Linked DNA regions of Rattus norvegicus. The protein of the gene in region 4 interacts with the protein of the main gene of each other region in a pairwise test. Links are inferred from orthologs where the notes say so. Each region holds a gene or a part of one and is shown on either strand. Other genes may lie near its edges.

The links.
Region 1: the proteins of Trim54 (region 4) and Tcea2 interact in binary tests that used the Homo sapiens proteins (3 or more experiments, as listed by UniProt). The two-hybrid records come from large-scale screens. The link is inferred for Rattus norvegicus from reciprocal best matches to the Homo sapiens genes TRIM54 and TCEA2.
Region 2: the proteins of Trim54 (region 4) and Otub2 interact in binary tests that used the Homo sapiens proteins (3 or more experiments, as listed by UniProt). The two-hybrid records come from large-scale screens. The link is inferred for Rattus norvegicus from reciprocal best matches to the Homo sapiens genes TRIM54 and OTUB2.
Region 3: the proteins of Trim54 (region 4) and Rabgef1 interact in binary tests that used the Homo sapiens proteins (3 or more experiments, as listed by UniProt). The two-hybrid records come from large-scale screens. The link is inferred for Rattus norvegicus from reciprocal best matches to the Homo sapiens genes TRIM54 and RABGEF1.
Region 5: the proteins of Trim54 (region 4) and Ccdc146 interact in binary tests that used the Homo sapiens proteins (3 or more experiments, as listed by UniProt). The two-hybrid records come from large-scale screens. The link is inferred for Rattus norvegicus from reciprocal best matches to the Homo sapiens genes TRIM54 and CCDC146.
Region 6: the proteins of Trim54 (region 4) and Inpp5j interact in binary tests that used the Homo sapiens proteins (3 or more experiments, as listed by UniProt). The two-hybrid records come from large-scale screens. The link is inferred for Rattus norvegicus from reciprocal best matches to the Homo sapiens genes TRIM54 and INPP5J.
Region 7: the proteins of Trim54 (region 4) and Iqub interact in binary tests that used the Homo sapiens proteins (3 or more experiments, as listed by UniProt). The link is inferred for Rattus norvegicus from reciprocal best matches to the Homo sapiens genes TRIM54 and IQUB.

Annotation. Positions count from the first base shown.
Region 1 is NC_086021.1:189,172,555-189,176,797, reverse strand, and holds the start of Tcea2 (transcription elongation factor A protein 2), read right to left. Parts: upstream 2,973-4,243; 5' UTR 2,894-2,972; coding exon 2,825-2,893; exon of another isoform or gene 2,705-2,824; coding exon of another isoform or gene 2,594-2,704; intron 173-2,593; coding exon 110-172; intron 1-109. UniProt on the Homo sapiens protein: Necessary for efficient RNA polymerase II transcription elongation past template-encoded arresting sites.
Region 2 is NC_086024.1:128,308,477-128,312,805, reverse strand, and holds the start of Otub2 (ubiquitin thioesterase OTUB2), read right to left. Parts: upstream 2,944-4,329; 5' UTR 2,747-2,943; coding exon 2,744-2,746; intron 1-2,743. UniProt on the Homo sapiens protein: Hydrolase that can remove conjugated ubiquitin from proteins in vitro and may therefore play an important regulatory role at the level of protein turnover by preventing degradation.
Region 3 is NC_086030.1:32,117,616-32,121,391, forward strand, and holds part of Rabgef1 (rab5 GDP/GTP exchange factor), read right to left. Parts: intron 3,400-3,776; coding exon 3,233-3,399; intron 1-3,232. UniProt on the Homo sapiens protein: Rab effector protein acting as linker between gamma-adaptin, RAB4A or RAB5A. Involved in endocytic membrane fusion and membrane trafficking of recycling endosomes. Stimulates nucleotide exchange on RAB5A. Can act as a ubiquitin ligase.
Region 4 is NC_086024.1:30,975,596-30,979,994, forward strand, and holds the start of Trim54 (tripartite motif-containing protein 54), read right to left. Parts: upstream 2,881-4,399; 5' UTR 2,697-2,880; coding exon 2,529-2,696; intron 1-2,528. UniProt on the Homo sapiens protein: May bind and stabilize microtubules during myotubes formation.
Region 5 is NC_086022.1:14,670,356-14,674,131, forward strand, and holds part of Ccdc146 (coiled-coil domain-containing protein 146), read left to right. Parts: intron 1-1,836; coding exon 1,837-1,932; intron 1,933-2,737; coding exon 2,738-2,908; intron 2,909-3,776. UniProt on the Homo sapiens protein: Essential for sperm flagellum biogenesis and male fertility.
Region 6 is NC_086032.1:82,605,851-82,610,096, forward strand, and holds the start of Inpp5j (phosphatidylinositol 4,5-bisphosphate 5-phosphatase A), read right to left. Parts: upstream 3,048-4,246; 5' UTR 3,006-3,047; coding exon 2,901-3,005; intron 1,377-2,900; coding exon 226-1,376; intron 1-225. UniProt on the Homo sapiens protein: Inositol 5-phosphatase, which converts inositol 1,4,5-trisphosphate to inositol 1,4-bisphosphate.
Region 7 is NC_086022.1:53,896,787-53,900,572, reverse strand, and holds the end of Iqub (IQ and ubiquitin-like domain-containing protein), read left to right. Parts: intron 1-2,439; coding exon 2,440-2,625; 3' UTR 2,626-3,237; downstream 3,238-3,786. UniProt on the Homo sapiens protein: Adapter protein that anchors the radial spoke 1 (RS1) complex to the A microtubule of outer doublet microtubules in axonemes. The triple radial spokes (RS1, RS2 and RS3) are required to modulate beating of the sperm flagellum.

The DNA.
Region 1 (4,243 bases), on a different chromosome or scaffold from region 4:
TTGTTTGTGGCAGTTATGCCAGGTGGTACTTAAGCCATAGGGAGCCCTGCTGGATGCCCCTGGAATTGCTGTCTCCGGAACCATCCTAAATCAGGACAGAAACACTTACCTGGAGCAAGTGCAATGTAATAGGCATATTCTTCAGCTCCCGCAGCAAATCCATGGCTCCCTCCTAGAAGGAAAATGGACATCCATAAAGGACTTTAAACCTTAGTGGATGCTGGGTAATGGTGGTACATGTCTTTAATCCCAGCATTCAGGACGCAGAGGCTGGTGAATCTCTGAGTTCAAGGCCAGCCTAGCCTACAGAGTGAGTTCCAGGATGGTCAGGACTACACAGAGAACACTAGTTGGGAGGCTTAGTGGACAACCCCACCTCGTTCTGATCACATGTGGGACAACTGAGATTCCCAGAGCATTGCATACTTGTTCCAACATCACAGCAGGGGCTTTTTACTGATCTTGCCATAGGGCAAGGATAGAGACAAACAGCCCGACCATGCTGTCCTCAAACATCAGGTGGTTTCTCACCCTGCATCTATGCTGATCTCCAGACATCATGGTAACCACAGGAGGACACTGAACAAGCTACTAGAGAAAAAGAAAAGCCCCAGTTCCTGCTCGACATGGAAGGACACTCAGGTTCCTTAACCTTAGTCCACCTATGCCATGGTGGCAGAGCAGGCTCTCCTCAAAGTGCCTAGCCATCAGTGTGGCACTATTCCCGGGCACTGTAACAGACAAACCTCTGCCCTGGCTTTTCTTCAGCATCTGCAGATAGGCTGCACCTCCAGAGTGGGCAGGTTCTTCCTGTCCCTACCTAAAACTCTCTACCTAAACTCTCAGGAATCTCTGCTCTAGCCAGATTTGCAAAGTTACAGCACCATAGCCAATGAGGTTTATCAGAGGCACAATTATTGCTAATTGAAAACTACCAAACCTGGTGACACAGGCCTTATCATCTTAGATACTTAGGAGGCTGGGGCAAGAGGATCAAAAGTTCAAAGCTTATCTGAGTCTCAGAGTGAACTCAAGATTAGCATGGGAATCCTAATGAGACCTTGTCTTAAAACAAAGTAAAGAGAGGGCCATCTAGACACAGCTGTGGTAAAGCACTTACTTGGCAAGTTAAGGCCCTGGGTTCAATACCCAGTATCAAAAAAGAGGGCAGGTGAGATGGCTCAGCAGATAAAGGCGCTTGCCAACAAGTTGTACAACCTAAGTTCAATCTCCAGCTCCCAAATAGTGGAAGGAGATAACCAGCTTCCAGGGGTCGTCCTCATATTTACACACACACCACGCTAACAAATGTAAAATTAATTAAATTAAAATATACAAAGGAAAGGATGCTAGTTTTCTTTTAAAAGCTAACACCTACAAATCCCATAGTCCCACTTCTTATCTCTTTCTCAAACTAACCACCACCTTCCTCCTAGGTTTGTAACAGACAACCCTGATTTTCTTCCTCTGCCCAAGCTCCATTCTTCAAACCTCAAGGGTAGGCAGGCTCTTCTTGTCCTACCTTAAACCCTCCAACTCTGTTTAAAGCTGCTCTTCTACCACTTCAAGTTTTTACTCCTACAACTGAGACAGACTCTTCTAACACCCAACACTATTGTGTTTGCTGTCCTCCAAGTTGCCACTATGAGCTCATTTGTCTTACAAGCCACAAAAAAAAAAAAAAGCAAGGAGAGCCCACCCAGCCATTCAAACCATCCTTACTAGAGGCAGTGGTAGGGGCTGGGCTAACCCTTCAATCTGTGAGAATTACCTGCTCAGCCTGCAGCCTTGTATCTTGGCCCTAAGGCGGGCTGTACAGCAATCAGCCCTCAAGTGGCTGACTTTCCTAAGAAGACCTGATCCTTAGAGCCAGGGGCACTGATCCACAACAGCCCTGCATTCCCACAAGAAAAGCCCAAACAAACCACCAGCTGTTCCAAGGAACCTCTCAGGTTACTGGGACCTCTGCAGGTTCCCTTCTCAACTGTTTAGTCCTATCTGTGGCCTTCCATCCTTATTGTGTCTCCCTATGGATCCCAACCCCATCTCTGCCACCCTCGGTTCCAAGTTTGTCATTTGTGTTTTAACGCCCTTACCGGAAAGAAGCACCAGCAGTACCAGGCGGCTTCTGTTTCCAGTGTAAAGGCATATATGGGAACTTAACCTGCTTCCTGCTTTAGACCCCCACCCTGCAACCCTCAGAGCAAACCTGCTCATCCCCCAAAGCTATCCCGCAGCCCTCTACTTCAAGCAGTCCTGAGGAAAAGACTCATGACTCAGCCACTATCTGGGCTGCCCTAGGAGCGGTGCCGCGGATGCTCTGGAGTCATACTCGGTTTTAAGGCCACCTCCTCGTCCCTTCCCACCCACGGAAGGCAAGATGCAGGTGCCATCATCCCCTAAGGATGCTCCCAAAACTACGCGGGTCGGAGGTTGGACTGCCGAACCCACACTGGCTAGGGACCAGGCGAGGGGCCATCATCTCCTCAGGTCTCAACGCCACAGGCTCGACTCGGAATCTCTACTGTCTGCCCAAACCGACTTGCTGTTGCCTGAGGCCTGACTAAGCAGGGGAAAAATTTATTAGAGAAACCTGGTTCTGAAGGGTGGGGGCAGACAGGGGAGACAACGGCTGGGCCAAGAACGCCCGCGGCCACCGCCGGGCGACGAACAGAGGGCGGCTCTCGGTCAGCGTGGCGTCCATAGCGAAGCGGCAGGGTGGAGGGCGGGCCTGGGCAAGGGGTCTCGACTGCCTGGGCTAGGTTTCATTCAGACGGTGTCCACGGAGCGGGGCCCCAGGGTCCTGGCGGCCCGCGCCCCTCACCGCGTTCTTCCTGGTCACCATTTTGTCCAGCCTCCGGGCGATACGAGCAATCTCCTCCTCCTTGCCCATCACTACCTCGGTGGCGGCGGATTGCGCCGGTTGCGCCGCCCGGCCGGACCTCGGCCGCCGCCGCCTAGATCCGCGGTCCAAACCTCCGCCTGGCGGCCGCGTGCAATACAATTAAAAAAAAAAAAAAAAAAAGAGTCTCCGCCCCCGGGACCACAACTCCCAGACGACTGCGCGGCCCGCGGCCTGCGGGCCCCTGGAAAAGGTAGTTCCGTAGCTTCCTCCGCGGGAACTCGGCCCCACGTGCCAACCGAATGCCAGGGAGAGGGTGGAACTAGAGGAGCGGGGAGAACTACCCTGCTGCGCTCCGGTCTTTACCTCAACCCATCGGAGCCGCTCGCCCTGGCGGCCCATCCGCCTTCACTGATCCACTCCGGTCGCCTCCACTGATCTACTCCACTTCAGAGACGCGCGTGGGGAGTGGGACGACTCACTCACCTCACTTGGTACCAAGCCGAGTTTGGGGCGTTCTTGCCTCTGCGCAGATGGCCCGGAACTCTGAAACGGTTTCTCCGCAAGAATTCAGGCTTTAGCCAGGCAATAGAGCCTCATGCCTTTTAAATCCCAGCACTCTAGGCAGAAAGTCAGGCGGATCCCTGTGAGTTCAAGGCCAGCCTGGTCTACAGAGCTAGTTCCAAGACAGCCAGAGCTGCACAGGGGAACCCTGTCTCTAAAGAAAAACGAAACAACAACAAAAACCTATTCAGGTTCTGAAGTCAGCCTAACAATACAAACCCCAAGTTCTGCACGTTGCTCTATGTCTCAGTCTCCCAACCTGTGAAGTGACAATGACAGGCTTCAGTCAGGGTCATCCAATTCACATTATACACTGAGAACAGGGGAGGGTACTGAGGCAATCAGGTACCGAGGCAGTACCTCAGGAAGACCATAACCATGCCCAGGAAAGGGAGAAAGAGACTCTGCTCCTCTTCTGTGCTATAGATGGTGGCAGGTGTGCTGGTACCAAAAGTCAGTGTCTGAGTTTTTGTACCCACAGTAGCCAGGAGGGCAGAGTGCAAATGGCATATACAAATGGCTTGGGCTGACCATTTCAATCAGTTATGACATCTTTACCATAAGGAAAAGGCATGGAATTTCCTGTAGGTAACAAAGCTTTTCCATATGTGTACACAGCTCTCTAGTTTCATACCAACTCCTATTCTGCCCTCTCCTGGGCGCTGGGCCCTTGCTCTAAGCTAAACCCAACTAAACAAATTCTGAGAGAGGGAACCCTGTGTTTGAGTACTGAACTAATGCTTGCAGGACCCTGCCACAGCACAGGCAGTAAGAGAACCACAGGGCCTTCAGCCATGCTGTGTTTGGCTGATGACTGACCCCATGAAAGGACTGCCT
Region 2 (4,329 bases), about 97 Mb from region 4:
AAGGGTTTTGTTGCAGTAGCACCGGCAAGCATGCTGAATGAGCGAGCCTGCCTCTCCCTCCAGCTGGCCACCCACAACCCAGCATCAGACAGACAGAGCTAGCAACCATTCCATATTCGTCAAAAATGCTAACAGTTCCCTCATGTACAGACAACCCAAACTAAACAGCCCGCCCCCCATGCAAAGCCCTGATCCTGTCCCCTGTCCCAGATTCACTGCCCTGGGCTCCCCCCAGCCTCCCCCAATCTTACTCTTCCCAGGATGCCCACACTTGACCATGTCCCAAGGCAATCTCCCTGCTACCTGCAATGTACTCTTTGCCAGTCCTTCCTGAATGTTCCTATACAACCTTGAGCACCAGCTTTTTCCTACGGGTGAAGGGTACCGTGCTCCTCTGTGCAAGGCCCCTGTTGGGCTCTCAGGCCATCTCAGTAATTCAGGAGCTGTGACCCAGCCCAAGAGCATGAACTCCGGGAGAGGGCAGGTGTCGTTCTTTCTTATCACTGCCCCAAAATAGGCTGGGGATGCCAGCGTTGGTTTCTTTAATGCACGAGAGAAGAAGGCAGACAGGAACGGGTGCCCGGACTGCCTATACTCACACTCACTCATCCCCAAGAGCAAACGCACACATAGTGAGGGTGAGCCCCTCACTGTCTGCAGCCCTGACTCCCAAGGACTCCATGGCTTCTGTCTGGCACTGACATGGAAACAGAGGAAGATTCTGTCAGTCCTAAGACTGCATCTACCACCCATGCCATGTAACCTCAGCCAACATTTAAACGCATTAAACACATTACAGGTAAATGAGCCATGGGCCTCAGGACTTAACAAGGTGGCGAATACACAGTGGGTGTATAATAAACACAATGTAAACAGCATCTAGTTCTGTCCTCGTGACTCCCAGGCAGATGTCCTATTTGGTGGGTTTTAACTATTATCTCTCTCTCTTCTCTCTTTCCTCTCCTCTCTCTTTCCTCTCCTCTCTCTTTCCTCTCTTCTCCTGTTCCCCTTCCCTCTCCAAGGCACCCAAACTCCCCAGAGGGAAGTTGCTTTGGGTCCCAGCTGCTGGTCTCCTGGGTTCAGGTCAGATCCAGCTATTCAGTAAGGGACACAAGTTGGGGTCCCAGTCCCTACTGCACTGGTCTGCTATCTGCTACCCACCATTGGTGGCCAGAAGCTACACAGCCTCCTCCATCCTCCATCCTCTCTCCATTCTGCGTGGCTAAAACTGTCATTTCAACAGCCCGATTCTCTGGCAGGTAATGCAGAAATACCTGGGCCGCTTTCCAAGAGCAGCAGAGCAAGTAAACCCTTGGGTTACCAAGAACAAGCAGGAAACTAGTGCTTACAGTCCGTCCCCAGTTTTGAGTTACACACACACACACAGACACACAGACACACACACAGACACACACACACGGACACACACAGAGAGATACACACACACACACACACACACACACACACACACTGCACCCCTCCCCCACAGGGCAGGAGAATGACTTGTAAGAAGATACCCTGGCTGTCTATCCATACCAGCACAGGTTTGACTCTGGCCCTAGCCTCACAGTGTCCCGAAGTAGTGACCCAAATGTGGGAGGAGGGGCAAGCACAAAGAACCAGGCACCTGCACCACCCAATCTCTGGATTTCAAACACCCTAGTTGAAAACCACATCCACCACCACCACCACCACCCATGCCACTCCCTCCCCCCCCATCTCCCCACCCCTGCACTCCCTGCCACCCCCCACCCCAACTCCTCATAATAACCATTGGGATAGCCCAGACTTAAGTAGACTGGAGTGTAGCTTAGCAGTCAAGCCTTATCTAGCATGCATGAAAAACGGTTCAAAACCCAGCATCACCAAACAAAACAGAAAGAGCAGGCAATCCCAGAACTAAGTGACCCCAAGTTGACCAGTAGCACTAGATGGTCAGGCTCCCTGGAGCCCTTTGCTGGAAGTTGAATAACATAGGCTAACCAGCATATCCAATCCCCTGTAGGAGGCCTGACCCCATGGCAACCTGGAGGGTAGGCTGATGCAACACAGAACACTGGACCAGGGGCTTGGGTCCAAGTCCTAGCTGTTGCACCACCACAATCCCTACCAGCTTTCTTTTCTCCCTGTCTGGCCTCAGTTTCCCCACTTGCCCAAGCCCTGGGTTTGACCGGGTTTGACCAGCCCAGGTTTTCTTGGGTCTCCTCTGTTAGGAAGTTCTTCTAAATCACTTTGCCTGGACTCCTAACTCATCTTTCACAACCGGGGGCTGCCTCTTCATGTGTCCTGACTCTACAGACCTGTTGCCATTAGGAAACTGAGTTTACATCAAGGAGTATTAAGGCTTGCCCGGGTGGTCGGATCGTTCGTCCCTGGGGACAACTGGCTGGGGTATGGTCTGTCTGTGGTGGCTAAGTCTGTGATGGGTGGACTGCAAGCTGTCTACACGAGTGCTACTTAACAAAGAGTAGAGACCACAACCCTAGAGGTATCCCATTCCTTCCCAGTCAGGCATAAGCATCAGGACTTAAAGGAGGTGTCTGGGGACCACCTAGAGTGGCCACGAGGCAGCAGGGCTCAGCCTGGGCTGGATCTTCTGGCTGTGGGTCCCCGAAGGGATAGCGCGGCGGGCGCACTCCGATGTTCACCATCCCGAGGGTGGAAAGGGCTAAAGCCTCGCGCCCGACCGCGCGCACGCACACGCGCCCTGGCGGCGCCCCCTCCCCGTCCCGCCACCACTGACCATAGTGACCGGAGCCGTCGGGCCACGTCTCGCTCCAGCGAGGAGCGAGCGGGTGCCAGGGGAGGCGCTGGGCGGCTCCGCCGTTGGGTCGGGCGGCGCGGGCCTCGCGGGTGTGGGGTGAGTGCAGAATACACCCGACCGCCCCTCAGACCGGAGCGCAGACCTCCACTGTGTCCCAGCAAGACGCACGGCCCGCGATTGACGTCGGAGGCCCGCAATCAGAAGCCCGGACGCGGGACGTCACAGAAAGTGGGTGGGACTGCACTCGCCTTCGGCCTATGTTTTGGGGCCCGTTTGACAGGAGGCCGCCCTCCTTTTAAAGACACAGAGTGCTTTTAGCTAGCAAAGGAGTTAGCCCAATCCAGAAAGCAGGTCCGGTTTGCAAAGACAGAAGGACTTTTAACTAAAACTGCAAATTGAAGGCATCTGGAAGATTAGATGGCCCTCGTTAATTAATCAACGAGTTCACATACATAAGTGTATTTCTTTCAAGATCAGAAGACACGCGCTTAGGAAATACGCGCCCAGTGTCAGACATTTAAGTTACCTGCCGGCTGCTGTCTAGCAACAAATAATATTTTACTTCTTTGTAACTCATGAATCAGACAGGCATTCAGGTAATATCTGTTGAATGGATGAACGTTCGAGATGGTTGAGCGTGGCTCTGTGGCTGTAGGGGTGTGTAGAAAACACAATACTGAACCAGGTGTAGGTGAGTCACCCTGTATACAAGCTCATAATTACTGGACATCAAAGAGGAAATATTATTAAAAGGTTTGTTTGTCAGCCCTTGACCCCTGAAGGAGTTATTTTGAGTGCTGTGTGGGGCTCCTGTATATAGCACATAACTATTTTAGTAGGTTCTGGGACTTAGATGGTTCTACTTCACTTCGGTGTAAAAAACGATAATGTTGGATAGACACTGTTTGGCTCTTTTCCTGAGCTAATGACAGGTGACTCTCATAACCTCAGAAAACTGAGGCTCAGTCAGCCCCACCAAAGAAGACAATAGACACACCCCCAATATTCTGTGGTGCAAAGCCAAGATGGTTGGTACATTTGGAGTGAGGCAAGCATAGTGCATTTTTTCATTGTATGGGGTGTGTGTGTGTGTGTGTGTGTGTGTGTGTGTGTGTGTGTGTGTGTGTACCTGTGCTGCATATGCCAAAGTCAGAGGTAAACTTAGGTGTCTTCCCCTATTTCTTTCCACTTTATTATTTTTTAAGGTTTATTCTTATTAGCTGGGTGTGGTACCACAAGCCTTTAATCCCAGCATTTGAGGCAGAGACAGACTGGACTCTGAGTTTGAAGCCAGACTGATAGATCAAGTTCCAGGACACTCAGGACCGTACAGTGAAACCCTGTCTCAAATCCCTTACCTATGCTCTGTAAGGAAGCCCAACAAACTCACTGTTTCCCCAAAGTAAACTTTTGTGGAATTGTGCTTTGATTTGTCATTGAGACCTTGGGAGGAGTAGGCACATATCTGATCCCTAGGAAGGAATTTTAGCAGCATATGTGTGGGTGTGGATGTCTGAATGTGGGTATGTGTGTGAGTGCAGGTACGTGGAGGCCAGAGGATCTAT
Region 3 (3,776 bases), on a different chromosome or scaffold from region 4:
CATGACCTTCCAATACTGAAGACAAGGCGGAGCGTCTTCTTAAATGTTTACATTAACATGTACTTAGCTGTCTGGCTAGTGTGTAAATGCACACGTGTGTACTTAAAGTTTGGGCATGCACATGTTGCCGTGCACCTATGGAGGTCAGAAGACACTCTGGGGATTCCGTTTCTTCTTCCTTCTATTACCTGAGTTCTGGGGGTCCATTTAAATTCCAGTCATCATGCCTGAAGGAAGTGCCTTTACCAACTGGGCCACTGTGCTGGGGCAAAGCCAAACTTTGGAATTTAAAAAACTAGAGTTTTTTTTTCATACAATTATATTTTGATCATATTCTTTCCCCTACCCCAAAATGTCTTAAAGAAAGAACAAGGAGAGTGAACGTGAATCCTGGCCTCAGCCCCGTGTGGATCACCAGAATTATACAAAGATATCCCAGACAACAGATTAGAAGCACTTCGCTGGCCAGATACGCTTCAAGGAATTTGCTCCTTTAGATAAAAAAAAACAAAACAAAAAGGCCCGTATATGCTGTCTGTCTGTCTATGTATATATATCAATAATCCTATCTAGAAGACAAGAAAGGGTTTTAAGGGGGCTATCATTGCTCATTTTGCCTTTAAATTACCCTAGAAGGGCAGTGGGGCTCTAGAAAAGCAGTCCCTTGCCAGCATCACTGCTTCCTTTCAGTCTCTCTCACTGTTTCAGACTCACTGACCTAAGTCCTGAGCCCTGAGTCAGGGCTGTGAGACTGAGACATAACTAAATGGCTTCCCAGCCTCGCTCTGAGCCTCTTCAACAAGCTCACTGAGAGAACACTGAGCCTTTGATTAGATTTATTTGTTTTAATTTTATTTTATATGGATAAATATCTGTATGCCACTTCTTTGCCCAGGGACTGAGGAGACCAGGAGAGGGCACTGGATTCCCTGGAACTGGAGTTGCCACATGGGTGCTGGGAATCAAATCTAGGTCCTCTATATGAACAGCTAAGCACAAATCACTATGCCTTTAATGACTCCTTTATACAGCATTTTAAACATCCTAAATTTTATTTTCATTATTGTGTGTGTGTGTGTGTGTGTGTGTGTGTGTGTGTGTGTGTGTGTGTGTGTGTGTACAGGTGCCCTCAAAGGCACTGGATCCCCTAGAGCTGCAGTTACAGGCACCTGCCTGACAGAACTTGAGTCCTCCACAAAAAAAAACAAGGGCCCTAACTACTAAGGTATCTGTCCAGCCCTTAAGTATTATTTTAAGAAGAGATGAGGGCTGAAGAGAGCCTCAGGCAGTTAAGAGCACATACTGTCTTTCAGAGGATCTAAGTTCAATTCCCAGCACCCACATCAGACAACTCACAACCACCTGCAGCCCCAGCCCCACAGGGACCCCTCTCCTCTTGTCTCCTCGAGCACTGCACGCACATAAGATAGATGCACACAGTTTCCTGAAAACTTTGGATTTTTTTTCGAGACAGGGTTTTCCTGTGTAGCCCTTACTTTCCAACTCACTGTGAAGACCAGGCTATCTTTGAATTCAGAGATCCACCTGCCTCTGTCTCCTGAGTGCTAGAATTGAAGATATGTATCACCACTGCCCAGCTTAAAACATTTTTCAAAGATTTATTTATATATTTTACATATGTGAGTACACTGTCACCCTCTTCAGACACACGATTACAGATGGTTGTGAGCCACCATGTGGTTGCTGGGATTTGAACTCAGGACCTCTGGAAGAGCAGTCAATGCTCCTAACCGCTGAGCCATCACTAGCATTTTTTAATGAGGAAAAGAAGTAGATACAGCAGCTAGGAAATGCTCAGTCAATAAAAGCACAAGCACGAGGACCTCAGCTGAACTCTCAAAATTCACACAAAGGCCAGGCATAGTGGTAGAAGCCTGTAGTCCCAAGCTTAGGGTCAGAGACAAGAAGATCCTGTGATTCAACAGCCAGCCAGTCAAGCTGAAACAGGGAGGTCTATGACACCCTGCTTAAAAAAATAAAGGGAGGACAGGCTGGAGAGATGGGTCAGCAGTTAAGAGCACTGACTGCTCTCCCAGAGGTCCTGAGTTCAAATACCAGCAACCACATGGTGGCTCACAACCATCTGTAATGGGATCCGATGCTCTCTTCTGGTGTGTCTGAAGACAGCTACAGTGTACTTATATACACTAAATAAATAAATCTTATAAAGAAAATAAGGTGGAGAAGAAGGGAGATAGGAAATGTCACTCTCTGGCTCGCACACACAAAGTAGATGAATGAGGAGGAGCTGGTGGGACGGCTCAGTGTTTAAGACAACTCACTGCTCTTCTAGAGGACCCAAGTTCGAGTCCCAGAACCCACATGGCACCTCACAGCCGTCTGTAACTTCAGTTCCAAGGCATCTGACACGCGTTTCTGGCCTCTGAGGGCACCAGGCACACAGTGGTGCACAGACATTAAGCAAACAAGGCATCTACAAACATAACATTTTTAAGAACAAACACAAATCCATCCACAAGAAAATACACTTGCCTAGCAAACGCAAGGCCCTGGGTTCGGTCCCCAGCTCCGAAAAATAGAAAAAAGAAAAAAGAAAAGAAAATACACAAGAGCCCCAAATGAGTCTTTTCCTGTCTGTTTCCTAAAAGTATAAGAAATAAGCTTTAAGAGAGAAAGGCTCTCAGGAGACTTTCAAGTTTAGAAACAGCTTCATCTCCTAAGTTATGGACACAGTGGGTATTACACAAGGTAAACAAACAAGGATCAGAAAAAACAAAGCATGAAAAATATCAGACAAAACCATCAAGTAGCCGATGATGAACAGTTTGGATGAGCGTGTTTATAAAGTATCTTTATCAACACAGCTACATGTTTCAATTCTCTTTAGTACTCCTGCAGGAAAAAAAACTTCTTTAAAAAAACAGTGTCTCGGGGTTGGGGATTTAGCTCAGTGGTAGAGCGCTTGCCTAGGAAGCGCAAGGCCCTGGGTTCGGTCCCCAGCTCCGAAAAAAAGAACCCCCAAAAAAAAAAAAAACAAACAAACAAACAAACAAAAAAACAAAACAAAACAGTGTCTCTTCAAGTCAAAGAGAATATTTCTTCACATACTGCCTGGCCATCAAACTCGATTTCCATGTTAAATCTGGTCTAGAACTTTCTTGGGCTTACAGAAGCGGAAGGCTGAGCCCACCTGCCTTCTAGATCTAACCTGCAGCTTACTCAGGCCTGGAAGAAGAAAAGAGAAAATTACCCTTCTTGGATCCAGCCCTGGAAGAGGCGCTGAAGAACTTCTTCACTGTGGTGACTTTGCGAGTTTTCTCATTGGTTTTCTTCTCCTCAAACTTGGAGAAGGTGAGGGACTGGGCTCCTTGGCTGCTCTGGCTGCTAGCGAAGGCCTCTTCCTCCTCCCGCTGAAGTCTGAAATCAGAGGGAAGACTGAATGATCTGGATCCTCTCCAGGTTTTCCCAGGGTCTAAACGATCTTGTTCAAACTACTGAGAAAGATCTGACTTTAAAACAGAAACTAAACATACCACATGGGTCTGAGGCCTCAGGTACGTGGCTGTAAGGTGGAATTCTATACCTGGTGAAGATTTCAGTACACAGCTTTAATCCCCGGTACCCCACAGCAAAACAAGCACGCTTTGTATACAGAATTACCTGTCTTCCTGGGAGGCCCAGGAAGACATATCACAGAGTTTGAGGGCAACCTGGGTTATAGACTGAGACCCTGTCTTAAATTACCATATTAAGAAACTGCTGAGGCGTGCTGGTGGGATGGCTCAGTGTGTAAA
Region 4 (4,399 bases):
TGTGATAAGGAGGGAGAACTCTTACTCTTCTACTTTAAAGATTTATGTTGTGTGTATGTATTTTGCCTGCATGCATGGTGTCCATGGGGGTCAGAAGGGGGCATCAGAGCCCCTGGAACTGGAGTTACAGATGGTTGCGAGCCACCACGTGGATGCTGGGAACTGGACTTGGGTTGGTTGGGAGAGCAACAAATGCTCTTGACCACCGAGTCCTCTCTTCAGCCCCAGACAGTTATCTTTTCCTCTTTTGAGACGGGTCTTACTCTACAGGTATACAGGTATACTTGCTACATAGAGCAGGCTAGCCTCCAGCCTGTGGTGCTCCTTCCTCGCTGGATCCCAGGCTGGCTCCTGGCAAGAAGTGTATTCCTGGTGTTCCCATCACAGATTGCCCACCAGGAGAGCCAGCTCTGAGGAATCCAGGTTACTTCATCTGTGAGGTCCGGTGTCTGTACATGTGAGTTCTGTTCCTTCATTCTCCCTGACCTCTGATGCAGTCATAAACTACTCAGACCTCTACCAAGACACAGAGCCAGGAGGCAAGCCTAGGAACTTATAAAGGACTCTGGTTTATTTATTTAGTTAGTTGGTTAGTTAGTTAGTTGGTTAGTTAGTCAGTCAGTTGGTTAGTTAGTTGGTTAGTTAGTTAGTCAGTTGGTTGGTTAGTTGGTTGGTTGGTTAGTTAGTTGATTAGTTAGTTGGTTAGTTAGTTAGTTGGTTAGTTAGTTAGTTGGTTAGTTAGTTGGCTAGACAGCGTCTTATGCAGCCCAAGCCAGCCTTAACCTCCCAAGGGCTGGGTTTGCAGCCGTGCTCAGCTCTTCTGTTTTTGCGTTGGAGATGTGTAGATAAAATAGTGCTGTGACTTCACCTAGTTATGCTTGGCCTCATGACCACAGACACCCAGGCATTTCTGGGAAGTACAATTTTGTTTCTGCCGTCTGTCTGTCTGTCTGTCTGTCTGTCTGTAAGTCGCCTGGATACCATTTATCTCCTACTAGGTCAGGAAGGATCACCGGTGTGAAACTGGAGAGAATGTTCCTGCTGTGGCCCACTGTGTCTTATCAGACCCCTCAGGGACAGAGGGCTCTGCCTCAAATACACACAGTTCTGTTGGTATGGAAGGATTTCTCACCGGTTTACCAACAATTTTTTTTTTTTTTTTTGGTTCTTTTTTTCGGAGCTGGGGACTGAACCCAGGGCCTTGTGCTTGCTAGGTAAGCGCTCTACCACTGAGCTAAATCCCCAGCCCCAACAATTTTTAATTTTAGTTTTCTCTTTCTTATTTACTTTTTGAAACGGTCTTGTTTTGTTGCCCAAGTTGGATCAGAATTCACTATGTAAATAAGGTGACACTTGCTAGCATGGCAGCGATGTCTCTAATCCCAGTACGAGAGAGGCAGAGGCAAGAGGATCTTCTGTGAGTTCAAGGTCAGCCCGGTTTGAATAGTGAGCTTCAGGACAGCCGCCAGGGTTACAGAGACCCTGACTCAGAAACAAAACCAAACAATGACAATCCCCTTGTTTTAGCCTCCCAAGTGCTCGAATTACAGGCATACATACACCACCACACCAGGTTATTGTTTAAAGTGTGTGTGTGTGTGTGTGTGTGTGTGTGTGTGTGTGCGCCTGTCTGTCTGTGTTCATATAAGTGAAGGTCAGAGGTCAACTTTTGTGAGTCAGTTCTCTCTTTCCATCATTTATGTTTTGGGAATCAAACTCAAGTTGAGGTCTGGTAGCCACACTAGCTAACACACACACACACACACACACACACACACACACAGAGAGAGAGAGAGAGAGAGAGAGAGAGAGAAAGATCTCAATATATCCTTGATCTTTTCTCCAGAGTTTGTTTAAAAAAATTTATCTCTCTCTCTCATATGTGTGTGTGTTTGTATATGTATATGTATATACATATACATATAAAAGCCTCAAAATGAATGAAATCTAGTCCAAGCTCCCACTAAGCCCATGCGAGACCATCGATCTTCCTTTCCAGTTTCTGCTGTGCTGGGTGGACCCCACTTTCTAGTTGCTGTAGACACAGGTTATGCTTACCAGCCTCAGGGTAGCTGCTGACTCATGCTGACTCTGGGACCTTACTCTGGGACCTTACTCTGGGACCCTCAACTCTCCTGCCTCTCAGCCAGGGCAGTTTCACCGGCTCCCAGGGGTGGGCTCTCCCCCACCATCCGCCACCTGTCCCCCACCTGTCCCCCACCGTCCCCCACCGACCCCCACCATCCCCCACCTGTCCCCCACCATCCCCCACCTGTCCCCCACCATCCCCCACCTGTCCCCCACCACCCCCCACCTGTCCCCCACCATCCCCCACCTGTCCCCCACCTGTCCCCCACCGACTCCCACCGTCCCCCACCGTCCCCCACCATCCCCCACTTGTCCCCCACCTGTCCCCCACCTGTCCCCCACCGACCCCCACCTGTCCCCCACCATCCCCCACCTGTCCCCCACCTGTCCCCCACCGACCCCCACCTGTCCCCCACCGTCCCCCACCTGTCCCAGCCCACCTGGAAGACGTCGTTGGCACACTTGCGGCACAGGTTGTGTTGGCACGGCAAGATCACCACGGGCTTGGAGAACATCTCCAGGCAGATGGGGCAGATGAGCTGCTTCTCCAGGTTGTCCATGTTGTGTGCATCCCCCAGCAGCGGCTTGAAACCCACCGTGAAGTTCATCCCGCGGTGCTCTGGTGCCTTGCTGTGGCCCTGTTGCTGGCCTTCTCTCCCCCTGCCTGCGCGCCCTTCCGCTGTCAGTTTAGGCTGACTGTAGATTCTTGGGATCCCTGATATTGCTCCCTCTGGAAAGAGCGGTGCTTCCTGTCCCTTCCTCTAACAGCTCCTCTCTCCCTGGGCTATTTCCAGACACTCTGTCTGCTCGGAACCCTCACCAGGCACTTGTAGTTTATCTCTCTCTCCCTGTGAGATTCTCCTCCTGTCTCCCCAAACCACCCTCTTGCTCGCTCTGCGGGCAGCACTGTTTGTTCCTCCCGAGAGAGACTAATGTTACTGTGGGGGTGGGGACACAGGGGCACCGCTGTGACATTCCAGTTCCCAATTTAGCTCATGTAAGGCGAGACACAGCTGTCCCAGACTGAGTGGCCATGACTGTCAGGAATGGGTGGCCAGTGGCGTGTGGGGCTCTATCGCTGTCACTGAAAAGGCTCCTCCGAACACTGGTCTCCGTGCTCTGGCTTGGGACCTTCTTCCAAACAGAAACGCAGTGTAAACTAGCCTGTGGGAGAGGTGCCATACCTGGGCCCAGGTGGGGGGCAAGACCTGGACAGACCTGTAGACTGCGTCATCGCTTCCTCTACAGGCTTAGCCAGTGACCCGGCCCTCCTCCATGATTCAGAAGTGGAACGGCAGACCAGAGAGAGAGAGAGAGAACATCTTGTTCCATATGTCTGCCCCGTATTTGTTCTTGCCCAGCCTTTATATAAAAAAGCAACCCTACACTTATTTACTTAGGGGGAATGGTGGGTGCAACCTGGAGCACAAGTGGAAGTCACAGGACAAAAGAAAATTCTTTTTCTGCAGCATGTGCCAGAAATCCAACTCAGGTCCTCAGAACTGGTGACAAGTGGCTTTCCCCAGAGAACAATCTCTTCCTTCTCCCTTATTAAAGACAGGTTCTTGAGTAGGACAGGCTAGCTTTGAACTCATTCTCGCCATGGATGACCTTGAACTCCTGATCCTCTTGCCTCTACATCCGATGTGCTGGGTTGAGGGGAAAGCACCATTATCCCCATTTATGTGGTGCTGGGGGTCAACTCGGGGTCTCAAGCATGCTGGAGAAGCATTCTGCTAACTGGGCTACGTCACCAGCCCTTGGCTCGCCCTTGTGGCATCATCCTAGGAGAGCAGCTCAAAGGCAAGAGGTGGCTGCTGTACCAGGCCCAGACCTGCCTTAGGATTATGACGTGAGAGCGTGTGATTCTGGTCCACAACTACATTAGTCCATTGCAAGGATGCTAAATTTGCTTAAACCTGAAACAAGCATAGACTGGTGATGCCTCAGTGACCGGGAGAGCCTGCTGTTCAATCATGAGGACTGGAGTTCAAATCCCAGCACTCATACCCATCTGTAATAGTAACTCCAAGAGACTCAGCGCCCTTCATGGGCTCACAGACACGTGCACATAGACATTTACACGGACACATGCATGCAGATGCTCACACAGACACACATAAAGAAAAAGAAAAAAAAAGTTTTGAGAAATGGATCTGACTGGAAAAATTCTGCATCTTGGAAAGTTATTTGTACCCAAGCGAATCGCTCTGCAGAGAGGTCATAGGACACTGCCAAAGCCACCACCATCAGGCTCTGGGCATCATTGACTCCCAGCTCCACAGTGACCACAGTACTCACCATGCCAGCC
Region 5 (3,776 bases), on a different chromosome or scaffold from region 4:
GGGAGCTGAACCAAAGGTATGCTGGGAATGTATGGCCGTTGCCATGGGTGACTAAAGTCACTGCTGGAGGTGAAAGCAGTTTCTGATACCAACACTTGCAACTCAGAACAGCAGCGAAAGTTTAGATAATAAGGTCAAAGTTGATCCCCAGCAGACTGTGGTAGATGAAGTTCCGCTCGCTACCAACCGCTCGTCTTCTCAACCTTTCCCATAAACGCTGGCTATGCAATTCTGAAGAAACTAGAGGGTGAGTTTTATAAGAAATTTAACCAGAATGCAGCAGATGCACGTGGAATGGCCCACGAAGAAGATAAACATACGCGCATATCGTGTTAGAAGAGCGCAAGCCAAAAATTAAGACTGAGTACAATTCATGGTGATGCTGTCCATACTTCACTCAGAATGGTGGAAAGAGTCGAAAAGAATTAGCTAGGAGCTTTTAGTTGATAAACTAAGTAAGCGTTTGTGATTTTCTGTCATTGTTTTCTAAGATTTCCTGGTCCCGGGTAGCACTCAAGGCCATGACCTGTGGCCTGAGGGAGGAGAGCATGGAGAACAGCCCATCCTAGGTCTGTCTGCACAGGTGATGCTAGTTTACCTCCCCTCCCCCACCCCACATCAGACACATGGAGTCTTCCTCACAGGCATCTCGCCTCGCCCGTGAAGTCTTCCTAAGTACTCAAGGCTGCTCGAGTTTCCCCTTTGCTTTGATCTACCCTCATCTGTTCATCGGAAACATGAGAGTTTATAGTGTTATATGAATTTCACAAGACCACGTCTTGCTTCTTGACAGCTGTCTGTCATAGGTGAGGCCCTGAGAATCGGGAAGCACTGGCTTACAGATGGTGAACGGGGCAGCCAAAGATCCTGTTAGGTGACATTTAACCACCAAGCAGGCTCTTTCCCAGTTGTGCATACTGGCTTGGGTACAACCCTAGTGACTCGAAGAATGTTGTCACCAGAGGAAAAGATTCACGTCAGGTCATTTGCTCTTATAATGGGGTCCCAAGTAGGCAAGTAGGCCTTTAGCACCCCAAGATGACCCTTCCACAGCCTTGGATTCTGCCTTTCTTCATTAGCAACTATGGGATTCCTTATCAAATACTTTCCCCCCAAGTGTTTCAGCACAGGACAAAAGTACACACTAATACGGCAAGAAGCATAATGGCAAAACTGTAGCTTTTGGAAGCAACAAAGGAATTAAACTTTTTCTTTGAAGAATTTTACATGCACTTATCTAAGTGCCACATTTAAGTAGTGAGCTATACTCCCTGGTAACCAAGAACTGCGTTTATTTGGCCTGTAAGGTTGCATAAGTGAATGCAGACTGGGTATATAATACCCTCACACGAACAGTCCAACACACGCAGGTCCCTCGGTTCCTGAACCATGAATTCAAGAGGCAGCAGGGTGTGCTAGGGAGATCACAGGCTCTCTGGCTGACGGCCTGGGTTTGCACCTGCACCAGTGAGGAAGGAAGCTTGCCTTTCTCTTCTTCCAAACCCCTGGATGCCTCATGCCATTTGTGAGGGATGGATCCAAGCCCTCAGAGCCCTGCAACATACTTAGGCAATGGTCAGTGAGCGTTAGATATTAAGATTTATTTAGAAAGGAAAAACCATCTGTAGCTAATCAATCATGTATTTCTGGTAGATCTTCATACTTTTACTTTGCACTGACTTTATAACCTATTCTGGTTATTCCCTATTCTCAAAATTCCTGTAAGATCGGGAATCATGATTTGCCCGCCATTTTAAAAATGTATGAAATGGGGTTGGTCCCTAAGCACCAGACGTCGTTTTCATAATAGCCTCCTTTTTAAATGTTGATTTCCAGATGGAAGCTATCCCCAAAGAAGACCTTTTATTGCCTGAGCAAAGGAAGGAGCTCCACAAAGAGGTTGACCTGGCTAAGAGAAATCTGGCTCAGCAGGTTAATATCAGTCACATGTTTATCTCAGAATGGAGAATAAAATGGTGTCTCAAAAGTGCTCCCTAAAACCACGTCAGAAAGAGAATGCTAAGGGACAGGAAGTGGCAGGGAGGGCGGGAGAAACTGGGGAGGCAGAAAGTATCAAATGATGATTGACGTACGTGTATACGGGAATGCCACAGTGGAACCCATTCATATTTATAATGATATAAACAGATAATACAATATGCATTAATATTTAGAGTAAAAGTATGATGTTACAGCCCTGCTTCCAATGGCCGATTTTTCCACTGGGGAGGTTTACTGAGGGTTGAGTGCAATGTCCAAGCCCGCTAGCCAAGTGTCGTATATCCGTGAGTATACACACACCACCCTCACCTTCAAGCTCATTCCCACACTGTTTTGTTCGTTTGTTTGTTTCTGAGAAGAAGGGAGGATGTGTTTGAAAGGACAAAACTTTCCCGGGCTATGTTTCTAAAAAAAAAAAAAAAAAAAAAAAAGGCTGTTGGTTGCATAAAAGTCAACCTTGTTTCCCCAATGTCTGATTTTAAATTCCAAACTTTTGTCAGCCAAACTACTGTGGAAGTGTTTTAAAACATATTTTTAAACTCCTCCTAGTCATTTAAAAACACAGTAAGGAACAGGGTTGATGGCACTACCCCACTAGTTTCCACCCTTCATAAAACAAAGGGAAACAAACTTGGGGCTTGGCCTCTTAATAAACTCAAAAGGAAGAGGCTGGGCTCCGTGCAGACCTTTCTGGGCTCCCTCAGAAAGCGAATTCTCACCCTGTGCTTTTCAAAAGAGATCTCTGTCAGAAGCCGAGGCCAAGTTAGTCGAGCAGCAGATTGCGGAGGAAAACAAGCTTTTAAAGGAGCAAGAAACTATGCGTGAGGTGCTGTTCAACCTCGGGCGAATGACTCAGATCAAAATGGAAGAGAAAGAACAAAAGGCTAAGGACTTCCTGAAATCCCAGGTAACCGCCCTGTTATGGCTGCCCGCTAATTACTGCGCAGGCGCAAGCGAGCCTCCCCTTAACGGATTATTCATTATAAGGTGGTAATTCCACATCACATTCTTTCAAAGTCAGTGACAACAGAGGACACTCAGTCATACCCTGGAAAACTAAGCCAAACCAGGGGAAAAAAAAACAAAAAAACAAAACAAAACAAAACAAACAAACAAAACCCTCAGTATCCAGTTATCCAAAGTAGGTCTAAAGGCTAAAGAGAAGCAGCAGCACAGTAATCAGAGATCCGAAAGATGGCAACTTCAGTAAGAATGAAGTGAGTGTCCCTGGTGGCCATGAGCCACAGAGAGAATCTGCAAGTCACAGAGCCGCAGATTCCAAGGTGGCAACTTAGGATCGGAGCATTGGACGAGTAATCAGACAGCATCCCATGGACCAGTGCCCGATGCTCTTAGCTGCGGCTTCATCCCAGGATCACCCCAGACTCCTGCAAAGGGCCACAGGCAGCAATCATAAAGCAAGCATACGTGTACATGCGCGTGCACGCGTGCGCGCGCGCACATACACACACACACACACACACACACACACACACACACACACACACACACACAGCAGAAGCTAACATTTTAAAACTAGACTCAGGGGGCTGGGGATTTAGCTCAGTGGTAGAGCGCTTATCTAGGAAGCGCAAGGCCCTGGGTTCGGTCCCCAGCTCCGAAAAAAAGAACCAAAAAAACAAAACAAAAAAAAAAAAACTAGACTCAGTTATTCCACAAAAGGATTGTGTCTAGAAGTCCTTTGTTTAAAGTAAATAAAGGCCAGGATACAGTTCAATGCCAGAGTGCTTGCCCGTGCGAGCTTTGATCTCTTG
Region 6 (4,246 bases), on a different chromosome or scaffold from region 4:
GAAAAGACACAAAGTAGGCCTAACATCCCCAACTACCTTCCTGGGGAGATAAACCCAAGAAGCAAATCCCTTAGAGAGAGAGAGCATCTTCTAGGGTCCCAAAGTAGGTCCAGGAGCGCCCCGCTCCCATCCATTCCTATCGAGGTAAACTGAGTTTAAAATGCAGTCACCAGTCTCTCCTTTCAAGTCCCAGTAACTTTAAATGAGGGAGAGCCAGGCCCTCACCGGAATCCAGGGTCGCTCTTGCAGGTAGGCTGAGCTGACCAAGAAGACGTTGGTGAGGTGGCGGTGGCGACTGGGCTTTCTTGTGTCTGTAGGTTAGGGCTTGGGCACTTGCCAGGCCCTGCACCCTGGGTGACAGGTCTTGGGAGTGCCACCTCAGGGGCTGGGGGCACACAGGGAGAGCGGTTGGGAGAACGACTAGGGGAGCGGCTGGGAGACCGAGGTGGCTTGGGCAGAGGTGGGGGCACAGTCTGGTTTGAAGGGATTCCTGGCCGAAAGGTAGGGGACAGAAGTCCAGGGGAGCGGGTGCCAGACTCTGGAAGGCCTGAGCTCACATCCAAGGGCAGGGTCTGTGGTGGCGGCGGCAAGACGGGATCCTCGGGACTGTGGCGCGGAGCCTCTGGTCTTGCGCGGAAGGAGGGGGAAAGCCGAGGATCTGAGGAAGTTTGGGCCCTTGGAGGAGAGGTGGCAAGACCAGCTGCCTGCACTGGGGTATGGAGACACCCGTCTGCAGGGGGAATGGGCCTGCGAACTGCCGTATCCTTCTGTCTAGCTGGCAACTGTCTCTCGGAAGCTGGGGTAGATGTCACAGTTGCTGGAGCCAGGTGACTCTCCTGAGAGGGTGACAGAACGGGACTGGGCACAGGGGAAGGACTGGAGGGGGACTGTGGGGGCTGCTCCTGAGAGGCCAGTGCCAGGCTTAGGCCTGAGGTTGCCAATGCTGGCTTAGGTCCCACAGAGGTGGGTGATAACTGCTTCTGATCCCTGGAAGTTGGTGATAGAATGGGCCCTAGAGGAGCCGGAGTAGGCCTTGGCATAGCAGAGGCAGATATTACTAGCTGCCCCAGAGACTTCGGAGCCAGGATTGAGACCGAGGCGACTGGCGGAGGCTTTGGTCCTGCAGCGGCAGATACTACCAGTTGGCCCACAGACGTGGGAGCCGGCTTGGAGCTGCGGTGAGGTGGAGGTCTTTTCTGTTCGCCAGCGGTGGACAGTGGAGCTAGGATGGGTCGGGGAGATGACAAAGCCAGTCTTGGTCTCTCTGAAGGAGGTGACACAGCTGCTCGTGGTCCCACCGGTGCCAGGGCCAATCTTGGTTCTGAGGGTGTTGGGCCCGTGTTCTTTGCTGGAAGCTGAAAACTTGAATTTACCTTCTAGAGGACAAATAGATGACTCAGAGTGACTCTAGCAAGGGGCTGAGCCCTCACTTCCATTTAGCCCTCAGCAGACACAGCTTAGGGCAGATCCTTCCAAAGAAAGCCTGCCTGCTCTCTCTCCAATCCATTCTGCTCCAGGTCAGTTTCCTTCTCAGAAGAGACAGGATACAAAAGGATACAAAAGTCATGTTTCCATATTAATCTTGAAACCCTGTTCACAGACGGACAGACTGAAACCCTGAATAGGCTGAGTGGAGCATGAGCCCGAATCTGAGTGCTCTCCTAGCCTTCCTGGCTGGCACCTACTCCCGCTTTAACCTGACAAGCTTCCAGGGCAGCTCTCACGGCAGCCCCTGCCGCTCCTCTTACAGAGGGCGCTGACTCAAACACCCCAAGTCCCTCCATGTTCTTTCTTCCAGTGTCCCTCAGGTGACCCTCACACTCTACCCACCACTCCTGACCCCTTGGTCACAGTCCTGCCTGTGCTGACCCATTCCCAGTGGGCCATGCAGGGTCAAGAGCTGGCAATGGAGACTGTCAAATCCCAGCTTTGGGATTTGAAGCAAATGTTCCTCAGCCCACAGACTGTTTCCCATCTGTAAAATTAACGCGCTGTTGGAAGGGTCCCTGACCATACCACATCCTAAAGTGTGTGCGTTCAGAGCAAGGGGCCATACTTGAGCCTAACACTTCCTGGGATTTGAATGCTGGAGAGTAAGCCCACCCTCCTTGGCCAGTCAGTGCGGTCTAATGCCACGCCTCTCTCTGCCCAGACTGTGCCCTCTTATCTTGCCTGTCCTTTCTCCACCTGTGAGGATAGGCAAATGGGTATTCTTTATACCTGGCAGGGGGGAGAACACCTGCCTTGTCCATTCTGATTATGCTATTCCCACTCTCCAGAGGACAGGAGAAAGCATCCTTTGCCAGGGAGGACGGAGGAAGGTCTATGCTCGCCCCAGGGTGGCCCCATCCTGCTTTGGAGATGCAGTTCAGTCTCTGTCCCTGTCCTTCTCGGTTCAGAGAACCTGGAATTCTACTTCCACCTCCCTCCCTGAACTCCACTTTTTGAGGCAGCATTTTGGATACTCTCCTTGGTTCCAAGTGTCCCACTGTGTGCCCCCTCCCCCCCAAGCACCATACCGCCTCCAGCACTAACAACTTAGACATCCCAGATGTCACAGTTCTAGTCTTCAGACACAAGCCCCCTCATTTTGCATTGGCTCAGAGAGGACAAGCCACTTGTCCAAGGTCACACAGCAGAGCTGGAGAACAGCTGGGTCCTCTGACAACCAATCCAGAGTGCTTCTGGGGGACTCCTGGCTGTGGCTGGTTCCTTTTCTCTATGGGCATCCCATTACTGCCCCTCCAGCGTGACCTTTTTGCCCAGCCTCTGCTTGGCAGGCACAGAAAAGTACCAGTCCCTTAGCCAGGGGCACCAGGGTGCCTGCAGAGTGCGTGTGGTGGGGGAGTGTGAGACTAGGAATCAGGAATGGGGGCTAGCTAGGGTTTAGGGGTTCTTACCTTCGAGGGTGTCCCAGTTTGCAAAGCCCCATGGGTCCCAGGCAAGGGTCCCAGTCCAGTTCTGGTCCCCGACTTGGCACTACCACTCCTGCTCTGGCCCTCCATGTCTGCAGCAGACCCCGGCAGCCCAGCCTGGCTCCCTTGGGTTCTGGCTCCAGCTCCTCAGCTCCCAGGAACCAGTGATGTCATCAGCCATTTCAACCTGCTGAGAATTTAAAGGCACAGGCACCCACTTCCCATACTGAAGGTGGCAAGTGCTAAGTGGCTACCCTTGAGGAGCACTTGAGCTGGCTGCTGATCTCAGAGCGTCTGGGGTAATATAAGCACCCATCAGCTTAGCCCTCCTGAACTCTGAAGGAGACCCCACCACCTGTCTGCCCCACCCTCCAGACAGTAGGCCAGGCCCACCCTTGCTCCAGGGAGGGGCCCAGGCTCACCCACAGGTAATTCAGGGACAGGTGGTTCAGAGGTCAGCAGCCTCCTCTCCATGGCCTCAGGGACATCTGCCTTGCCCTGTCACTTTCCTAACTTTCTGTTTAGCTCAGGGCTTGTCTTGGCCCCCACCCTTGCCCCATTTTTAAGCCTTGGGCTAACTCTCCCCCCACCCCCACCCCCATCTTATCCCTGTCTGGCTCTATTCTTCCCATACCAAAACCAGACAGTCAGGCTCCATCCACCGGAGCCTTCTCCCTTTCAAACTCTGCCAGCCCCTCCTCTTCTGCAGACATCTCAGTGCCCTCAGATGTCCCCACACATAAGCCGGTCCCAGTCCAGTCCCAGTTTCTCCCTCTAACACTCACTCACTGGTGATGGTTCTGAAAGGCACTTGTCAAGGTCACCCCATGAACTGAGGAGATCTTCTGAGTTTCAGTGACTTAACCCAGTGATCCGACCACCTTGAATCAGTGGGGTATGTGGGAGAGAAAATCTGGGGAAGAGAACGGTGTAGCGTGAGGAGAGGGACTCAGCAGGAGAGTTCAAAATAAGCCTTCAAAGCTAAGGGTGGTGACACATAGGGTATCCCCAGCACTGGGGAGGCCAAGGTAGGAGGTTGGCTAAGGGGTGAGGTTAACCTGGGGTATAGAGTGAGTTCAAGGCCAGGACAGATAGGGATAAATAGGGAGACTTTTCTCAAAAAGTCCAAACTAAAAACAAGCCAAAAGTACACTAGGCATTCAAACCTTAAAGAATAGAACCCAATGGGGCTGGACAATGGCTCAGTGGTTAAGAGCACTGGCTGCTCTTCCAGAGGAATCAGGTTCAATTCCCAGCACCCACATGGCAACTTGCAACTCAAGTTTCAGTGGATCTGACTCTCTCACAGACATTCAGGCAAAGCACTAATC
Region 7 (3,786 bases), on a different chromosome or scaffold from region 4:
TTTATTCTTTTGCATATTAATTTAAAAACATAAAGTCAAAAATAAGTACCTGCATCCTGAAAATTGCTTATTATCAATATATAAACATTGTGGAACCCAGACACTGTCCTTTGGTTTATTGGCAGGAGTCTGCCTAAAACATACTCAGTTGTCAAATTCTATTCATAACTTGGGGAGTCACACACATGGGATTCCACTCTTCCATTTGCTTCCACCTAACTAGGAGAGATGACAGCACCGCAAACCGTGACTACGACTTCATTTCAGTAACTCATAAGATGCTATCTGTAAAGCATTCTGATGAATAAAATTGAGGGGGCCCTGAATTATTCCTGAAGCGCTCCATGTACAGCACGTGCAGGTCTCCAAGAGCCGGCCCTGCTTTTCTCCCAATTTATTATATTGCAGAACCCTTAATTCCATCTAAGATGCCTCTAAAGGAGACAAAAGCAGTGGACCAACCGCAGCCATTTTGAACAGTGCTGTCCCAAGATGCTGCTGCTGCTTGTTTATTAAGGAAGGTGAGGGAGTGATATAAAGGGAGGAAACTGGATACAGTTTTAGCCTTTCCCAATAAATTTTGAGTTCCAAGAAGCCAGGCTATGAAAACGTTCTCTCTAGGGACTGAAAGAAAGCGCAGAAAGAAATTGAAACTGTGCTAAACGTTATATTTAGTAAACTAAGCCACTGCATAAATATTTAATCGCTGGAAGCACAGCCAATACTAAGCAATATCATTTCATCGAGGACCCACAATGAAATTGAAGTTCATTCCCAAGGCTGATATTCCGGTTCTTCTTCAATTAATCCGCACAACTCCTTTGTGTACCTAATCAAATCACTGCACTCTCAGATTAAATGCTTCATTCACGTGCATTTCCCGTCTCAGGACACCAGTCGCTTTTCATTTCTGCAAGTGGAGTAGAGGCTCTCGTCCTGACTCCAAACCTTTGCTGCTCTCCAGGGTCTCCGGTTTGTGCCTTACTGACCATTCCGTTCTGAATAGTTCAAGTCTTTGCAGCAAATCAAAGCATTTCCAGAATTCTCTCAAAACACAGACACATCAGCCCCCCCCCCCCCCCCCGCCCCTAGAAGCAACAAAAGAGCAAAGAGACAAACACAACAGCAACAACAAGAGAATTTGGAATGCTCAGAACCAGGGCAGTTGTACAGACCGACAGTGTGTCGGGGATGGGGAAGGTGGTGGTGATGGTAGGAAGTGTGTGCGAGCTCCAGGCTGCAGCACACCACCCTGTCGGCCTTTGTCAGCTATATATATGTATGTATATAATATTATATATAATACTGAACCCTGAACCATTGCCAAGACTCATCTCAGATACCTCACTGTTGCCCAGAGTCAGGGTAACACTACTGCTTGTTACTCAAGGTGTCCAGGGGCAGGTTTTATGCAAATTCCCAGCTGCTGTATACCTCCCCACCCTTGATGTCTGATGCCCCAAGGCTGGCTGGGCTTGACTTTTGTGCTCGCAGGCTGAGGGATGTAATGTTTCCCTGACCTTTCCCATTGGAGTTCAAGGCCACTACACAGCTCCCTGTTGGTGCCGATAGCCCCAAGGCTCGCTGGTGCTTTGTGCTTGCAGGGATGCAGTGGAGACAGATACAGATTCAGCATTCTCTACCGCATGCAGCTCTGTTCTGCCGTCTTCCAATTCTGTGAGCCCACTATTAAAAAACATCTCCCCATAAAACTTGCCGCCACCACCACCTCTGCCCTTAGTTGTTTTGGGGCTGTTGCAGGGCTCTGCAGACTGACTCATCACCCTTCAGAGACTCCATGGGTCTCTCAATCCTCCTTGAAGCATGAGATACATGAGTCTTTTTGAGAAATTGTCTTAACATGCTTTCCTGTAAGCTTTGCCCAAATGTATGTATGTATGTATGTATGTATGTATGTATGTATGTATGCATGTCTGTATAGGCATGTATAAAATTGTTGCTTGTTTCATGCCACTGGAATAAAACAGAAACCTGGGTACATCCTACCCCATACCAGGCAATTACTGTAAATACAAATGGAGGAGAGAAAGAATAAAGAAAGAACTAATAACAACAGTAGTTTGGAATGAGAGAGACAGGGGGAGACAGACAGAGAGAGAGACAGAGAGAGAGAGAGAGAGACAGAGACAGACAGCGACAGACACACAGAAAGATACAGAGAGAGAGAGAGAGACAGAGACAGAGACAGAGACAGAGACAGAGAGACAGAGTCAGACAGATAGAGACAGGGAAAACATAGAAACACTGAGTCCTGGTAGACTTGAAATTGAAGCATCACAGAACCTAAGCTCTGAAAGATAAGAGACAAAGTGAGAAGAAAAGTATCCTAGGTTGAATAAAGATGCTGAGACATGGTCATGTTTCATCTGGCAAAATATGTATGTATGGATTTTCAACTTCATTTTCTTTTATTTGCAGGGATATGGACGCCTTTTTATTCACAAGATCAAGCACAAACATATCTTGGCTAAAAACTATTTTTCACAGGTCCCAGTGCTGGCTTCACTTATACTTAAGGATGATGAAATAGAAGCTATCAGAAGTAAATACTCCACAGAGAATCCTCCTAAAATCATAGTACCCCATGGGATTGTACCTAATTAGAGTCAGGAATGTTGATTTGATGATGAGCATTTTTGTTCTCTACGAAGAGAATAATACAAAGGTCATGAACAAGGAAAACCACCTATGAATTTTTATTTCTATTATATATTTTACTCACAATATTTTGTTATATGAAGAGAAAACATCCGTATACAAGAACCCGTGTTAGGTGGTTTGGAGTCTATAAATTTGATACTAAGATTAATAGTTAAAGAGAACACTTTTATTTTTATCCATTTTCATTTGAGGAAAAGTGCTCTATAGTCAAAATACATCAGTGAAACAAAACCTTGGCTTAATCTTCTGTGAAAGTAATTTACTTATTTAACATATATTTTATGAGTATAATCACTCTATACGTAAGCCTGTATTTTGAGATAAGTAGTTGAATATTTTACTTTTATTGTCTACTTTTACCTGTTAACTGCATAATACAAGAAAAGAAACTGTAACAGATAAGCATAAATCTGCATCGCACGCCATGAAACAAGGCAAACAGTGGAAATGTCACGTTACATGCTTCCTCCGGGGAAGTGTTGAGATTCTGTAAGAAGCATAAACTTGATAAATCAACTGTCCACTGCTTCTCAATAAAGTAAGCAATAACTCTGACTCCATATCTGTCTGAAATATGTGGCGACGATGACATATCCAAAGGTGGCACACCCAAAATAGCATGATTCGAGAAGAGCTTATTTCCAGAAAGGCCCTGCTCCAAGACATATGTGATGTAGGGAAACAGAAGGAATCCAGGGCCACGTTTCAGATATACAAAATCTGATGGAGAAGCCAGGGAACCCAGAGAGAATGGAAAGGAGATAAGTAGGTCACCGAGAGGACTAGCAACCAGCCTGCAAAATTTGACCTCATGGACTAGAAAAGAAATCCTCAGTCTCACACCCCTCCTTTGCACCTACTACCTTCTCCATTTGGGACCAGAGGAAAAGATTCAGAGTTTACATGGCTCTAGAGGGAAGGGAAGCAGAGTTAATGGTTCAACAGACATGGAGAGCTAAATAGAAAGCACTGGGAAAGAAAAACAACAGAAGGTGACGATATAATTCAAACTAGCACACCTCGTGTCAATAGAACTATAAAGAAACACATTTTAGTCCAATTCTATGTAGATGGTGTTCTTTCAAGTCTAGTGATTAATACATT